2 linked regions of the Lonchura striata genome follow. The protein of the gene in region 2 purifies or fractionates together with the protein of the main gene of each other region. This does not show direct contact. Links are inferred from orthologs where the notes say so. Each region holds a gene or a part of one and is shown on either strand. Other genes may lie near its edges. The genes, in order: CUL2 and KLHDC3.

Evidence for each region.
Region 1: the proteins of KLHDC3 (region 2) and CUL2 purify together in Homo sapiens (affinity purification with mass spectrometry; 5 studies listed by BioGRID and IntAct, counting the BioPlex papers as one, with this or other methods). This does not show direct contact. The link is inferred for Lonchura striata from reciprocal best matches to the Homo sapiens genes KLHDC3 and CUL2.

What each region holds. Positions count from the first base shown.
Region 1 is NC_134603.1:143,812,020-143,820,599, reverse strand, and holds the start of CUL2 (cullin-2), read left to right. Parts: upstream 1-4,953; 5' UTR 4,954-5,060; intron 5,061-5,155; exon of another isoform or gene 5,156-5,269; intron 5,270-7,887; 5' UTR 7,888-7,907; coding exon 7,908-8,026; intron 8,027-8,580.
Region 2 is NC_134605.1:18,783,195-18,791,232, forward strand, and holds the start of KLHDC3 (kelch domain-containing protein 3), read right to left. Parts: upstream 3,318-8,038; 5' UTR 3,191-3,317; intron 1,574-3,190; exon of another isoform or gene 1,534-1,573; intron 1-1,533. Other genes in the region: MEA1 (male-enhanced antigen 1), read left to right, coding at 3,458-3,811, 3,921-4,035, 4,102-4,265; PPP2R5D (serine/threonine-protein phosphatase 2A 56 kDa regulatory subunit delta isoform), read right to left, coding at 7,388-7,525, 7,872-7,988. UniProt on the Homo sapiens protein: Substrate-recognition component of a Cul2-RING (CRL2) E3 ubiquitin-protein ligase complex of the DesCEND (destruction via C-end degrons) pathway, which recognizes a C-degron located at the extreme C terminus of target proteins, leading to their ubiquitination and degradation.

The sequences.
Region 1 (8,580 bases), on a different chromosome or scaffold from region 2:
CTTCTCCAGACATGCTTCAGCACCTCAATGTCTTTCTTGAAGTGGCAGGCGTAGAACTGAACACAGGACTGGAGGTACTGAGCAATGTCTTTTCACTGTGTTGCTGCATATCCATGAAAGGATTATTTCACTATGATTTTTAAAAATGATTGTACAGCAGTGCACATCTATGTACACATCTAAGTACACATGATCTATGGGCCTTTTATTAAAAGGCACTGCTAAAAGGGACCTGAACCACTTTCTGAAGATAATTGCATAATTTCTGAATCAAAAGGGGAGACATTTAGAATATTGTTTGGTTCATTGCTGGTACTATAAACAAATACATTCCTGGCTCATGACCTGGTAGACGTAACAGAACTTCCTTGGTGTGGGTGTCAGATTCAGTCAAAGAAAGAAACTGAGTTTCTAGCCAGGCAAAAAGCCTGGGAAAGAGCTGGGAAAGAATGTAAATAATGCTTTATCTTTCTTGTTTTTCACATTGTTTATAGTTAAGTTCTATCACTGTGTGTCAAACACTCTGCACCAATGCTGTGGGTTGTTTTCACTTCAGAACCAATGGATTTGGTCCTTGTGGAGCTCTGTATAAAAGAGCGGTGTATTTTGAATAAATCAGAGTTTTAGTATTACAGCCTTCTGAGTCAGTCTCCTCATTCCCGTCCTACCTCGACAGCGACACCTTGGAACTGCAGCTTCCCTTCCCCTGTGTGCAGCATCCTCTCATGGCTCTCTCTCTCATTTCCACCAGCAGGAGCAAGTGATGATATTTGAACAGTTCCATGTGCTCAGCTGTGGCACCACACTTCCCTAACCCGTACTAGCTTTGGGATTTTATGTATACAAGCTAAAGCATGAAAACTACAAACTAGCTTATTTACTAGAGTAAATTTCAGGGGTAGTTTCATATTCAAATTAAACCTGAAAGCAAAATCCCAGTAATTAACACAAACCCACCCATATGGTGTCTCAGCCAGGACTCCTTCATTTTTAACAATTCAGAAAATAAAGCTAGAGAACCTAATAGCTTCTTTAGAAGCTTTTTGCATTCTTTTCTCAAATGCTTAGATAAGCAATATGATAAATAGGAACACTGAAACCTCTTTCATGCCAGGTTGCTTGTTTGTTGGTCAATTGTTATATCTGGTTCACTCAGCACATAGCAAGTACTGAGCCGTTGGCATCTGATGCACTTACTGAACGGAAAGGATTTACAACCTTGTAACTGAACACACAAAAGCTCCAGAATGTTTTACTCTTTTGATACCTCATAGCTGTTTAATATCTCAAAATTCCTTTAAATAAAATCATTTAGGCTCAGTAATTGCATCATAGAGTCTTGGCAGCTCATTGATCTCTAAATACAAGTTCTAAATACATGATTTTGCTTGTCAATACATGATTTTGCTTGTCTTGGCAGCTCATTGATCTCTAAATACAAGTTCTAAATACATGATTTTGCTTGTCAATAATGTTGCAGAATATTTTTTAGAAATTTTTTGGGGAAAAAAAGGAAAGAATAACTAGATTTGCTCAGACAGATAACTTCTTAACTACAATGACATGAAAATAAATTGGTGCCCCTTTTTAATAATAGATAGGAAAAAAAATTACATTTGCAATTTTTTTTCCAAGCAGTCCTGGGGAAGGATAGAATAAATCTGGGAGTTGAACTAAACACTTGATGGCTAACTAATAAATGTTGTTTGAGAGAGTTCAACTTTTGCTAGATTTCCTATTTCATGGACAAAAGGGGTGGGTTTTGTTGGTTTTGTAGGTTGTGCAAGCTGAAACTCCTGAACTGCTACTTTTTAATCTATTCAGTACTGACATCTTGTGGCCAGGAGTGCAGTGAGCATCTGCTTCTTAAAATTAAAGGGATTAAAGCAGATTAAATAACCACACATTTTAAATTCTTCATAAACCTAAAAAAAAAATTACAAAAATAATACTTAATTGCTTAATACTTAAATACTGCATATTTTTATAATCACAAAGGATTTGTTCAGTTTATACATATATTTTGCACATTACCATATGAAAGACAAATACCCACAATAAAAGTCTAGATTAAAATATCTATAATGAAATAAAGGTCCATTCTTACTTTAATTTATTTTGCTTTCAGAAGCAAAATATTATTTTTAAAAATTTGTATTATTATCTGCATCAATAATGCAGACTAACTCATCCAGTAAATTGAATATAACATGAATAAAACATAATTAATCCAGTCAATATTCTCATTTTCTACATGAAAAAGGCTAATGAATATGTTACTCTAAAAATAGGATTTTAAATCAAAGACAAGAAGAGCAGATAGTATAATGGAAGACATTTGCAGATGAGAGGGTGGTGGTGGGGAATGTGGATACTCAGTATCAGTTCCGACTGCATTCTAAACCAGCTTTTACATGAAGCATTAGGTGATATAGTGGCACATTTAATACAGTGTTTGCATCACCTCGGGGCTGTGGGATTCCTAGTTCTGTACCAGAATAATAGTGTTAGATGTAGCATCAACATAAACAAAATAGACAGCTCCTTCCAAAAGAATTAATTACATAAGGGCAAAGAAAACAAGTTAATGTAAATAGAAAAACCGAAGTATCAGATAAGAGAAAACTGTATGTAAACAATGGGGGAACTTAGGAAATACTCCAGTACTGGTTAGGACAGTGAGCAGATTGGGTAGCAGATGTAATCAAAGAAACATAAATTTGCGTATGTGGTGGCAAAGTTTTAAGGTGGTATGTACATGTAGTAGAAAATAACCTGTGTCACTCACTACTGTAATCAACAATCTATAAAGAACCAGCACGAATTTACTGGGAAGAAATTGACTTCTCCATAGGACTATCCTGCAAAAACTCCCAGAATTTCCATCTGTTCCCCATCTGTGTCTTCTCTATCTACAACTGCTGAAAGACAACACTAAGCCTTAGTCAAACAGGATTTAAAGGTCTGCACATCTGCTGTCATCAAGAAATGCATCAAGACATGACTGAGGTAGATGAGGACACCATTAATGGGTCATGCTTTGCCAAATGGCAACTTTCATTGCTGGCTTATTTGGGCACATCTGCACAGCATGTTAATTCAGATGATCTGGGCTTTAGCAGGTAGGAACTCACTGATTCATAAATCACATATCCACTCACATAAAGCATTGGTGTATACACACAAGTTTTAGTCTTGCTCTTGGCAGATACATTACATCTGCATAAGAACCTTTGTTCTTTTGAAGTGTAGGCAGCACTGTGGGAGTGGCAAGATGAGTTTAGTAGCACACACAGAGTAATGCTCTCTGCTTGCTCATCTCAGACTCCTGCAATGCCCCATTCTGTGAAACACCTGGTCTGTGTTTTCACGTGGTGATTCTCTGGACACCATTGACAAAGAAACTTGATGAAAAGGATATCTAGATTTTAAAATTTTGTGACTTAAGTAGGAATTATTTCCTAAATATATTTAAATCCAAGAACAATTTTTAAATATCTTACATAAAAGCAGTAATGTTCATGTTCTTCCTCTGAATTGTGACTCCCTAATTGTGCTTCCTCAACTGCAGCCTTGTAGAACAGTGTGCAGAATAGTTGAGGATTTGGTACCTAATTAAAGTCTGTGCTTACTGTGAATGTTCATAATTTCAGAAAATTGCTACGTGATTCTTCCATGCTGAACAACCCAAATGATTAGTTTTGAAAATACCTCATTTCCTGTATCTGTTTCCAGTTTATAACTGTTAACTCAGGACTAAACTTCCTCATATAACAGAAATTTAGAAAATATGTACTGTGTAATGTTTGGGCAGCGTATAGATAAGGATGTTTTTCATTAGCAGCAGTCTAACTTGTGATATGTGATCTTGTACAATTAATACATTCACACAGCATGATTAAACAGGATAATTAAATTGTGCCAGCATATATTTGAACTTCTAAGCTCACAAACTTGTGGCTAAGACTACTAAAATGTGAAAATATTAGAAAATGAGAAAGTGCCCCAGATACAATCCAACACTTGTAGAAAATAGCAAGCACCCAAAAGCTTAAAGTTACAACTTCCCTCCCTGCCCCCCCGGCAAATAGAAGAGCTTTAAACTCTGCTAGTTTCTGTTAAATTAACAGAATGGAAAAATAAAGGGGTTTACGGTGAAAACAGAGAAAGTTGAAATAGTGTCTAAAATGTCTAGAAGGAGCTAATAAAAATAATTTTAAAAGAGAACACAAAGGAAAACATTAAGGCTTAATGATAAAGCTGCCAGCTTTATGGAAAAAATATAAAACTTCATTTATGGAAATGAAACGGGCAAGGGCTTGATTCGAAAACAGAAATAATTATTTTTGACGTTTTGAGTAGTTTGAACAATAGAGAAGTTTCAGAAATAAATGTCTGTTTTCCAGAAGACTATTGTCTCTGACGGAGAGCTGCACTATGTGCTCTAAATGATTCCTTTTTTTAGTTTTTTTAGCTTTTTTTGAAGCAGATCTGCAGGGCGCTGGGCTGCCGGGGCCCGGCGGCTCGGCCTCCGCAGCGACTCCGCTTTGTCACTCCCACCCAACAACCCCGCGTCGCCGCTTTCCGCCGAGGCCCCGAGGGGACGGCGGAGGCAGCCGGGGCCGAGGCACTGCCCGGGGCGTCCCGCACCCGAGCAGGGTGCTGGAAGCTGGGGAAACTCCCTGCTGGGGTCCGGCGGCGGGACGGGAACACTTCCACCGTCTGAGGTAGCGGCGACCTCCTGACACGGAGCCCGGGAACGCCGCGCCCGTGGGAGAGCCCCGTTGCAGCCCGCGTCCCCCGCGAGTCCCTGGCGGGACGGCGCGCCGAGAGCGGTCCCGCCATGGGGGCGGAGTGACGCGTGCGCGGGGCCGCCCCGCCGCTGGGAAGCGCGGCCGCCCGCGCTCGCCGTACAGCGCGGGCTGTACCAAACCCCGCTGCTCCGGCGGGGGACGCTGCGATCGGAAAGTGACGGAGCGCCGGGACCCGTCGGCCCCAGCTCGCCCCGCGGCCGGCGGAAAAAGCCCAGCGGGGAGAACCCGGGGGTGGCGGCACCTTGGGTGAGGCGGCGGCGCGGCGGCGACAGCACCGAGCGGGGCCGCGGGGCCGCGCCCCAACCCCGGCAGTGGCGGCGCCGGCGGAGGGGCGGGGCGCGAGCGGCTTTGGGTAATGGCAGCGCTGTGAGGACGGAACGGGGCAGCGACCGCGGCCGAGGGCAGGAGCGAGGGACGCCGGGCGGGGGTCGCTGACTCGGGCCCCGGGCCGCCAGGTAACGCCCTCGCCCGGCCCGGCCCGGCCCGGCCCGCCGCGCTGAGGGCGGGAGCGCCGCGCCGAAGGGAGGTGGCGGTCCCGACCCCGCCGGCTGCGCGCGGGGGCGATCGGGCCCTGCCCCCGGCCGGCCCCGGCCCCGCCGCTGCCCCGGCCCGGGCCTCATCCCCGGCGGTGCCTGAGCGGCAGCGCCCGCCCGCCGCCTCCTGCCCCGGCTCCTGCCCTTGCCCCCGGGCAGGGCGCGGTGCGGCCTCTCCGGCGGGGCCGCTCATTATCCGCTGGCTGCGCCCTCAGCCAGTTTCGCTTTTGTTTTGGTGGAGGGGGAGGTGGGCAGCGGGCGTGGGAGGCAGCACTGGTCACCTGTTTGACGCGAGTGCTCCTGCCCCTGTCTGCGCGCCCGCCACGGACTTGTAATACTGCTTATGGAGGTGGTTAAATAGCTTGGAAATTTGGGGCGTTCTTTGATACTGGACAGAATGCTGTGCTTATTTGTGTGAACAAATATATGCTGTATGGCAGTGGTGTGTTTTAAAGAATGAGGCGATGGAAGCGGCATCCTTTTATTATCTTACTGAGTAAATATGTTTCAATAACATCTCTTTACCTTAAGGCTTATCAAACAGGTATGGCTTCCCACACCCTGAATAGTCTAAACCCTAGGGTAGATATTCTGCTCTCCTGTGGTTCTTACCGTGATCAATACAAGACATCTAATAATCAAAGTTGGTGAGCTTTTGCATCGCTGATACTGGAGCACAGCATGCCCCAAAAAGTCCAGTGTCTTATAGTAAAAATTATACCATACTTGTTAAAATATCTCTAAAACATACTTAAATTCATATTTCCATGAAAGTTGTAAGAGAATGCCAAATAACAGTTATCTTAAACTTATTAATTTAATCTGTCTTAAATTTAATTCCGGAATACTTGGATGACCATGTGGATGCTTTACACATTATTAGGTTTTAATCATCCTGAACACGTTTAATGACATTGGGATGTACTGTGGTGAGGACTTTTCCTTCACCCTTCCTTCTTCCCCTCGGTTTTGCTTCTCTTTGAAGAAAGGGCTCTTTTCTCTTGGATGTACCACCTGTGTTTCCAAGACAGCAACTTCTAATATAACACAAGTACAGCTTCATTAACAGAAGCAGTTATTATGATTCTTAGTGTCTTTTGTGGACCATGATTATTTTTTCTTGGGGTCAGCTGGAAATGATCTTGTGTTTTCCATAAGAGGGGTATTTGGTCTTTTTGAAGATTACCACTTCCCCCTCTCCCCTCCCATCCTGGAAGTGAGCTGTTGTCTGCCTCTACTAAGGTTCATGTTTCTGTGAAACATACATCAGTGTGTTTTTCAGCTTACGTTACTTGATGGATCTTTGTTTTGTCAATTCTCACTGATTTTTCTGTGTAAACTCCTGCTAACATAAATGGATTGAAGTAATAGCCAAGTTACAAATACCACAACATTTACAGCAGTTAAGGAGCTTGGTTGGTTAGTCATGGGGATGGGTTGTGTGCATGCATGCTAAAAGTTGCATCTGATTTAACTGCTTTTTTTCTTAAACTGAGAAGTGATATATCCTGTAAGAGCCAGTAGTGGTTAATCTAGTAAGCTAGTTGCTCAATAGTTTTTTAGCATGACATTTCATTCTTTCCCTTACAGAGGTCTGCCTCTTGTTCTCAAAGTCTGTCACCAGCTTTCTACTTTCCCTTTTGACCTTGAAATTTTGGAAAGACAAGAGTCACTTGTCCATCTGTTTGAAATGGAAATAGAAGTATTCTTTCCATTTTTTATTGTAGTCTTACAATGTCATGTTTCTGAGCAGCAACTAGACTTGCTTTGTGCATGGAATGTCACACATCAGATCCCTTTTAAATTAGTGAAAATGAGACCTTCACAGTTGTCTCTTTTTAAAATCACCTTACTTTCCCCCTAGTTTTTAGATAATTTAATGTTGAGTGTTTTTTTTTTTTCTCAATAAATCTCTTCTGTTATTTTTGATAGGATATAACTATCACAGCTTCTGTATTTTCAAGCCATGTCTTATTTGAAAGGCATCAGTGTTTTCCTGGCTCTGCATATTGCCCTGTGTTTTCTTTTTCACATCCTGATCAAAGCTTTTGGGTTTTGTGGCTTTTCAAATGTAAAACCAAAAATGTCTCATGAAAGCCTGAGGTGAGCACAGGCTACAAACTGACAGTAGGAATTTCAGATACTGTGGTAATCGTTTAGTTTGTTCTTACCCCAAATTTTCTTAGATACAGTTAAAACAGTCTTTGATAAAAGTAAACAAATCAAAATTTACAGGAAAGTTGTTTTCTTCATGGGACACTCTTAAATGAATAGTTTGGTGAGATAATGAACTTCACAAAGTATGATGATGTTAGATTAATTGGTATTAAGTTATAGGCTACTTATGCAACATTCATATTCTATTCCAAAGCATTAAAAATGAGGAATTGTGGAATCATTTTGGAAGAGGTGGGTGTTCTTTGTGTCGCTGTATCATAGTGGTGCAACAGTGTACAAAGTTTAAATTCAAAAATTCAAAGGAAGTGTATACTTTTTTAATGATTGTGCAATGTTGTCTGACATGTTTAATTCTTCTACAGATTAACACTAAAGCCCCACAATGTCCTTGAAACCACGAGTAGTTGACTTTGATGAAACATGGAACAAACTTCTAACAACGATTAAAGCTGTTGTGATGTTGGATTATGTTGAAAGAGCAACGTGGAATGATCGCTTCTCGTATCCTTTAAGTGAAAAATCTGACTTGATGTGTTTGTGTGATGTGTTTAGCACAGGGTAAACCTGTGTTATGCAACAGTGATCCTGGGCAGCTTGTTGTTAGGCTGTACCTGTTATTAGGCCTGTGAATAAATTGAAAGGGATGGGAAATTCTGCATATTTGGGAAGTATTCTATGTGAAAATCACCATGCTGATAAAAAGTTAATTAGCCTCAGTTCTAGTCACTTTTGGTAGCTATAATACTTAGCTTATGCTAAAGCTGTTTTTGCAGGTATTGAGTGTCCCCTATTCTGACACTGAGATTTTCTTGTATGTTTAAGTGTTTGTGTGCAGCAGGGGAAATACCCAGGACAGAGAGTGCACATCTTTAAATTTGAGATGTGGGGGATGTTGAGATTGTTCTGTATAAACCTTTCTCCCTCTTCTTTGCATTTCTAACTCTACTGATAGCTACCATACTAGTCATTTCCATAGCAAGGATATATTAAAAAGCCTTCTTCCTTTCCCTCCTCTGTTACTGCCTTATTACTTGTGACAGTTAAGCTACGTTTAA
Region 2 (8,038 bases):
TCCCCATTTCCCTGGTCTGCCATGATCTATCCAGAAATACAGTAAAGCACAGGGGATGCAGAGAAATTTTGAAACCCTGGTAAGTCCTGTCATTAACCAGGAATAAGTGCATTTCTAAAAATCAGGACATGCTTCACTTACTGGTGAAGTACCTGATGTTGGTGATGCTGGAAATTAAGTGAGAACAACAGTGCATTGTTCCTCTGCCACAAAACATTTCACTGCTAAGCCAGGGAACAATCAGATTTAATTCAGCTCTGCATTCTTCCAATACAGCACCTGTAGACAGCACCCCCATATCTCTAGTTGTGCTCTTGCCTGAAGATGCACTTAATGCCTGCAACAACCTTCATCCCAACTGCTCCAGTTTACACCTAACAAGAGCCTAACAGCACCGCATACGGACATCTGAGATCAACAAAAATATCACTCAATCTCTCACTAGCATATCTTCCAAAACTGTTGTGGTGACTTGAGCACTGTGACACAGATAGAAAAACATCCCCAAAACAACAACAACAAAAAAAAACAAACCAGATTTTTCACTTTGTTCTATTTGCTTTAGGCTTAGTATTTTCAAACCTTACAATTAGTTATGAAAATACTTCATTCGAGATAGAAAGCTACTGAGCATCTCCAACTACAGTAGCCAGGTGATGATCTTAAAACAAACCCATATGTTATAAATGAAAGTTTATTTTAGCCAGATTAAAAAAAAAAATAATAATTTTATTAGCGGTCAAATTCTATCTGGCCAGCCACACAGAAAAGACAGAGCCGAGCCCGGGGTCGACCCTGGGTGTGCAACAAGGAGTCAGCCTCAGCAGAGGTTTTCCCCTATGCCCACACACCTCCATCCTGGCACAGGCGGTTTTTATAGGGAAAATTCTGCCTGAGGCCAAGATTTTAGCAATCAGTCCTTTCTTCTATTCGGAGTCCATATGTTAATAAGGATTTCTTTTTGGTGATGAGGAGAAAAAATTCAATGTTGAGCGTTTACGGGAAGGCTTCATTCACATGGATCTGTCTGAGTATTTCCATGATATCCATCTTGGACGATCAGCACAGATGATCAGCACAGACAATGACCCATCTCCTGGCCGAGCCACATCTGTTTACTTGTAAATCAGTTTCCAATATACACTCAGTCTCGCCCGCAAAGGGGGGGGGGGGGGGGGAGGAACTAATACAACGGGCATGATTTAACAAGCATCCCATATTACATATTTCATACAAGGAATGGCGCAAATTATATTTACTATACATAACACATATATCCTTGGATCCACTTCTTTGCTCAAAGGGAGCTCAGTGGGTTCTCTCACTTCTCTCTGCACACAAAAGGAAACCTAGAGCCATTTCTAAAAGCTGCTCAGAGTAGCCTTGCTGTATCCGATTCTCAAAGCAAGGGGGAGAAACCCATCAGCAAGTGGCCCGGATTTTCAAGGACTCATTCTGTCACCCCCAGACTTACAGCAGCACCCCAAGAAGAGCAGCCTACTCTGCAAAGCTGCTCCAGAGAGCAAATCCTACCGTGTGGCTGCCTCAGTCCCGTCTCCCAAAAGACACCAGCCACAAGGTTTAGTAACCCTTAAAATAGCCCAGCCAGTTCACAGCAGTCCATATAGACCGTTCTATTTCAAGCACATCCAACATACTGTTAGAGATAACATGAGAACAACCTGCTTTCTTCACTTGTGCTTGACATTTATCTAATGCTTGGAGCATTTGTGCTAAGGCAGTGTGAAACTGCAAGCTTGCACATTCAATAGCTCACAGATGCTCACAATGCAATTCCAGCCCCAGTAAATTAGATGGTGCTAGAACAGTCCTCGAGCTCGTGAACTGAGCCTGCTCTGGAAGCTCATGTTAGCCACGGGAATCACAGACCACGCTGCTCAGGCACAAATTTATCCCAGTGGTCCCCCTACAACCAGCCTCACCATCTCCTTATTTTTCACCAAATATTTTACCCATTGCTGACTTACTTCTGCCTAAAGCCTAGCTGAGATTCTGCACCTACTGAGCTGGCTTCTATTCTTCACCTTGTTTCCCAAACCCCAGCTTCTCTATGGAGTGTGCCTAAGCTTTGGAGATACTGCTTGACCCCTACTTCCCCATCAGGAATTTGTCTCAGCCTGTTAAGCTGTTTCCAAGGGCTGCCGCCAAGGGCAGCCCTTGGGCTGGGAAGCAGGCTCAGGAAAGCTGAGCTGACAGCCAGCAGGGCATTTCTCGCTTTACACAGGGCTACATCAGTTTGTTCTTCTGCCCCCCTGTTGCACTGACACTGATCCCCAGGCTGAGTGGTCTGCTGGGCTTGGCCACACATGGGGCAGGCTCACAGGTGCCAACCCCAGGCATGCAGCCCCACAGCAGCCACAACTGGGTGAGAGAATAAATGGTGTGAAACCACAGGAGCCCACAGGATGGAGAGAGAAGGTGCAGCAGAAGTCATGCCAGGGCAGAAGGTCAGCCTCCCTGACACAGACCTATTGGGGAGGATAGGGATATGTGGGGTCACAGAATCCTTTAAGGATGGAGACCACCAAGATCACAGAGCCCAGCCATTAGCCCAACACTGCCAGGCCCACCACTAACCCATGTCCTGAAAGTGCCACATTTACAGATTTTTTTTAACACTTCCAGGGACGGTGATTCGACCATCTCCCTGAGCAGCCTGTTCCAATGCCAAACTACCCTTTTCGTGAAGAATTTTTTCCTAATATCCAATCTAAACTTTCCCTGGTGCAGCTTGAAGCTATTTCCTCTTGACCTGCCTGTCACTTGTTACCTGGGAGAAGAGGCTGGCCCACACCTGGCAACAATCTCCTTTCAGGCAGTTGTAGAGAGTAACAGGGTCTCTCCTGAGCTTCCTTTTCTCCAAGCTGAAGACCCCCAGCTCTCTCAGCCGCCCCTCACAGGACTGGCTCTCTGGACCCTTCAGCACCTCCTCTGCCCAGCTCTGGACACGCTCCAGCACCGTTGGCCGCCGCTCCCGCCCGAGCCCCTCTGTGCCGCCCCGCGCCCCCACCCGCTGCCCGCGGGCCCGGCCGAGGGCAGCCGGGCAGGGCGGCGGCCCCGCGCCCCCGGCCCTCACGGAGGGGCTCGGCGGTGCCTACCAGCCTCGCCCTCCCCCAGCCGCGGCACGGCTCCGCCGGCTGCCCTCGCCCCTGCGGCCCCAGCCCCGTACCTGTGCCCGTACAAGGAGCTCCGACAGCCCCGCTCCGACGGGAGCTCCCGCCGCTCCCTGGGACTTGTAGTGCGGCGTGGCCCCGCCCGGGTCCGTGGCCCCCCCCCCCCCCGCGCCGGAGTAGCGCGGCCCCGACAGGCCCTTGCGAGGCGCCGGGCCCCGGCCTCCCTCAGGGAGGGCTCCGTGGGTTCCCCGCCCCGCCCGGGCCCGGCCCCGGCGCGCCGCTCGGGCCCAGACCGAGATGGCAACACTCGATGGCGACACTCGATGGCACCGGCGGCGCGTGCCGGCGGCGCCGCCCGCCGCGCCCGGGGCCCGCTTCGGGACTACAACACCCACAGTGCCCCGCGGCGGCCGCGGAGGTTCCGGGCGGCGGCGGCGGCACCTCCTCGGCGCCGCGCCCGGTGTATGGCGGTGGTGCGGAGCATGGGCCCCGAGCGCGTCTGTCCCCGGGAGCCCGGGCCGCCGGAGGGCCCTGACGGCGCGGCGGGGTGGAGCGGCGATGAGGAGGAGGAGGAGGAGGAAGAGGAGGAAGGCGGCGGGTACTTGTATCAGCCCTTGAGCCAGGAACCGGAGCAGGGCCTCGGCGACGCGGGCCCCGGCCTGCAGGAGCGGCTGCAGGTACCGCCCAGCGCCTCCCGCCGGGCCGGGGCTGGGGGCACCCGCGGCCCCGACCCCCGCTGCCCCGACCCCCGCTGCCCCGACCCCCGCTGCCCGCCTTTCTCCGCAGATGCTGAGGCTGCACCTGCCCGACCCGCCGGTGGACAGCGAGGAGGAGAATGAGGAGGAAGCAGCGGAGGGCGCCACGGCTCAGAGCAGCCACAGCTCCATCCCCATGGATGCAGGTAACCGCGTCTCCGGCAGGACGCTCCCGGGGCTCCGCCGCGGTCTCACGGCCTCTCTGTTCCCAGAGCATGTGGAGCTGGTGAAGAGGACGATGGCCAGCGTGAAGCTGCCCACCCTGGGCATCCCAGCCTGGGCTAGCCAGATCTCGGAGGAGCAGTGGAAGGACGTGGTGCAGCGCACGCTGCAGGCCCGGCAGAGCCTCGGCGGCCCCCGGCCTCAGTGGAACTGAGTGCTGGGCTGTGGCACAGGGGCTGCAAACCCCAGCCCTCCCTCCACCCTGGAAGTACCCACTGCCTCCGAGCCAGGTGCTGACAGGACTTGCCAGTATCAACCTTCCAGTTTGTCCCACTGACATTGTCTGATTTTCCTTCCCCCTCCTTTTTCTGGGTTCTGGTTGGTGAATAAGTCAATGTGATGACCTTGTGCTGGCTTCCTCTACCTCTGAGGAAGATTGCTTTCCATGCCTGGATGCATATGCGGCGATGGGGCTTGGCTGGCTTTGCCCATGGACTTGGCCCCATGCTGACAGTACCAGAGAAGTCACTCTCCAGGCTAGGGCCCCTCCTCTCAGGATAGGGTCTGTGTGTTGGAATATCACAGGTGGAGCAAGATGTGTCATTCCAAGAGATTGGTTTTATTTAGTTCTGTACATACAGGGACATCTGTACAAAATCCAACACTTTCATACTATGTAATGCTCTACTGAAAATAAAGTACACCATATGTACATATGAACTGTAAGCAGCTTAATACTTGTGTCCAGGGTGTGAATGCAGTAGTTTTGCTTTTTCCCTTGGGAGGAGCAAGCCAGGTGGAGTGGAAGAGGCAGCTCCAGTTCTGTCCATTTGGCTGATGTGGGGAAAGGCATAGGCAGAAATGAGCAGCACTAATGCTAGAAACCAAGTATTGAGCAGGGGGTAGCCGTAGCGTGGCAGATGCAGGTCTGCCTATGAGCAGTACATGTAGTGAGAGGGTGAGCACACTCCCCCTTGTCTCACATGGTCCCCTTCTGAGGTGTCCAGGACACTGGAATGAATAGGCAGCAAACAAAGGATAATGTGAAGGTACTAAGCCTAAGTTCCCTGACCCAAAACAAGACACAAAAAGCTATGGGAACATCAAAGCTGTACAGCACATAATCATGATGTGTTACAATCCTGCCCCTGCACATGGCACAACCCCAGCAGCATTCCTCTGGCCAGGGTCAGGGGCTGCCAGCAGAGACAGATCATCTGCAGGACAGTGCCAGCCCCTGCACACCACAAGATTCTGTTCCCTCCACAGGCAGAGCAGCCCACAGCGGGGAAAGGCAGCCACTGCGCAGCAGCAAGCAGGCTCAAGTGAGGGCACACCATGCTGTAGCAATCTAAAAATGAGGTCTTGGCTTACAGCGCAATGCAAGCAGCCAGTTGGAGAGCCTGTGCTCCAACAGGAAGGAGCCTCCTGCCCAGCCTGAGCCTGGCAGCCTTCATTTCCGCTGTGCTGCTCTGGCACCACCCGGTGCATGTCCACATGCTGTGCCAGGCGTGAGGTAATTGATTGGCAGCTGATCATGAGCTCAGACTAATGTTCAAAATAAGCAATAACCTCCCTGAGGTGTTTCGGAAGTCTCCTGATGAACTGGCCCGTTGTGTGAGGCGGAGGGGAGGTGGGGCCCTGTGTGACTGGGGGGATCTCACACATGCACCTGCCAGCTCCTCCCAAGAGATGGTGGCATTCCTGATAAGGGCTGAGCTGGGAGAGAGCTACACGGGGCAGGGATGCAGGATACACAGGTCAAAACAGCCTCACTGGGGTTGGAGGAAAGATGTGCTGCACACCAGCAGAAAGATTAGAGGGGGTGATCCTCTGACCTGTAAATGGTTTACTGGTGAGGACAGGCAGATACACCAGAACCTTCTACAACATCCCGTGCCATTGCAAAGCAGTGTCAGGCCAGCCCCAACCCCACAGGCTCCCTGCACTGCTGCAAACCCACTTAAGCTTATGTGTCAAGAAAGCAGGTGCAGCAGGTAAGAAGCAAGGACTCCCCCTCTATGACACCCAGCCTCTGAGGTGGCACCTTGGCCTGGCACTAAATCTGCACCACAAACAACAGGGGTGAAAGCTGGATCACAGTAGCACCCAAGTGCTGCGCAAGCCCCTGGGCTATCAGCAAGTGTTTCTAAATGCTAAGTTAGCACCCCGATGCACCATGTGACATCTAACAAGGGCCTCGGGCCACAGCAGGTGCACACGTAACAGGACAGGTGAACTTTGCTCAGAGCACCCACAGAAGCGATTCAGCAGAAGTGCTTAGCCATTGATAATAATGAGGAGACAACTGAACAATCAAACTCAGCCACACCCCATGAGGTGTAGCCACTGCTTCCACTGGCTTGCGGAAATGACTAGCAGCACAAGCTTCCTAGAAACCCTGGCCCTGAAGAGCTAAGGATGGGATACAGAGACAAAGGGAGAGCTGAAGGAGTATTTTAATTGAGCAGGTAGAGGAAGAAGGTGGAAGTCAGTGGCTGACACCTGCTACACAGCGAGAAGTTAATTCTGGGCCCACAATTAACCCGAGACATCGGGAAGGAAATGAGTCTGCACGAACCAACACAAACAGCAGAAGTAATTCACTTTCTCACAAGAGAGCTTCTAAGGATGCTCTAAAGGGAGGACTGCAATAGTATGTAGTGCTTGCACCCAGCTTAACTGGGGGTGGCAAAGCACTGAACCCCCACTCCACTGACAGGGGAATAAAACAAGGAGCTTGTAGCAAAAGAAAGGTGTAAGTAAACATTTCCTCTGCTGTACATTAAGACCCTTCAGCTGTGGAGCTGCACCCCAAGGCAGGCTGGAGAGGCAGCAGAGCCTTCACAAACTCTGCTTTTCCCCAAAGCTCAGCCTGGCCTCTGACCATGCCAGGGCTCAGCTGCACATGCAGCACAGGGGCAGAGATGGGCACTTGGAGTTTGGAGCAGCACGCTGAGCCATGCATGGAAGGCTCTGCCCAACACAGAGCCTGAGCAAGGCTCTGGCTTCCTGGCAGAGTAAGAATCAGGTGGCATCTCACACTGAAGTGAGTCCTGCCTGGACTGATAAAAGCAGAGGTCAGGCAGGCTCCCCTAATGCTTGCAGAGCCAGGTGGGAAAACAGGAGGACGGAGAAAAAGCAGGAGGACACAACAGTGGTGAGATACAAGTTATAACATAAAATCAGATCTACCCTGGAGGTATGCAGATGGAGTGGAGGACAGGCACAGCTCACCATGTTAATTCCTTACTTATACATGAGAACTGAGTGCACTTCCATGACCCCTGGAGGAAAGGGATGGGGCAGAGCTTCCTGGGCCAGCTCCTGAGCCCGTCAGAGAGCCTCCTGGCTTGAGGTGAGAAACTCTTCTGCTCTCTTGTGGGCCTCCAAGGCTTTTATAGTGTAGACGTCCTGCGGAAGCTCAGACTTCCGGCGCAGCAAAACTTTGTCCTTCTTAATGTCTTTCAGCATCTACAAACAAATCAAAGGAGTCAGGAATCAGTAGCAAACCCCTTCATGCCTTCAGCCTCTGACTCCAACTGCTCTAGGTTATGCTGAGTGGCACTGCAGCATGCTTCAGAACAGGCTGACAGCCAAATACAGACCAAAAGGACACAAGAAAGTCCCACTGGCACTTTTTCCAGAGTGAGAAGGTTAGATAAACTCCACTCTTCAGACTACAGGTTGATCTCTTAATGATGAGGGGTGAGAGTAGTGGCATTTACCTTCAGAACATTTGGAAAGAGCCAGCTCTGGCTATGCTGATGTCCTGGCTGGACTGGGAGCAACTGTGAAAGGACCTGAGTCACCTACACACCTGTACGGCCTCCGTCTCCACTGTTTTCTTCAGTAGCTGTATATCCTCTGCAGTTGGGGTCTCCGTTTCCATACAGCACACAGAAGGCAAGGGTAGAGGTGCATAATACATGGGGTACTGCAGACAACACAGACAGCTGGAGAGTCAGCACTCCATCCAACACCACA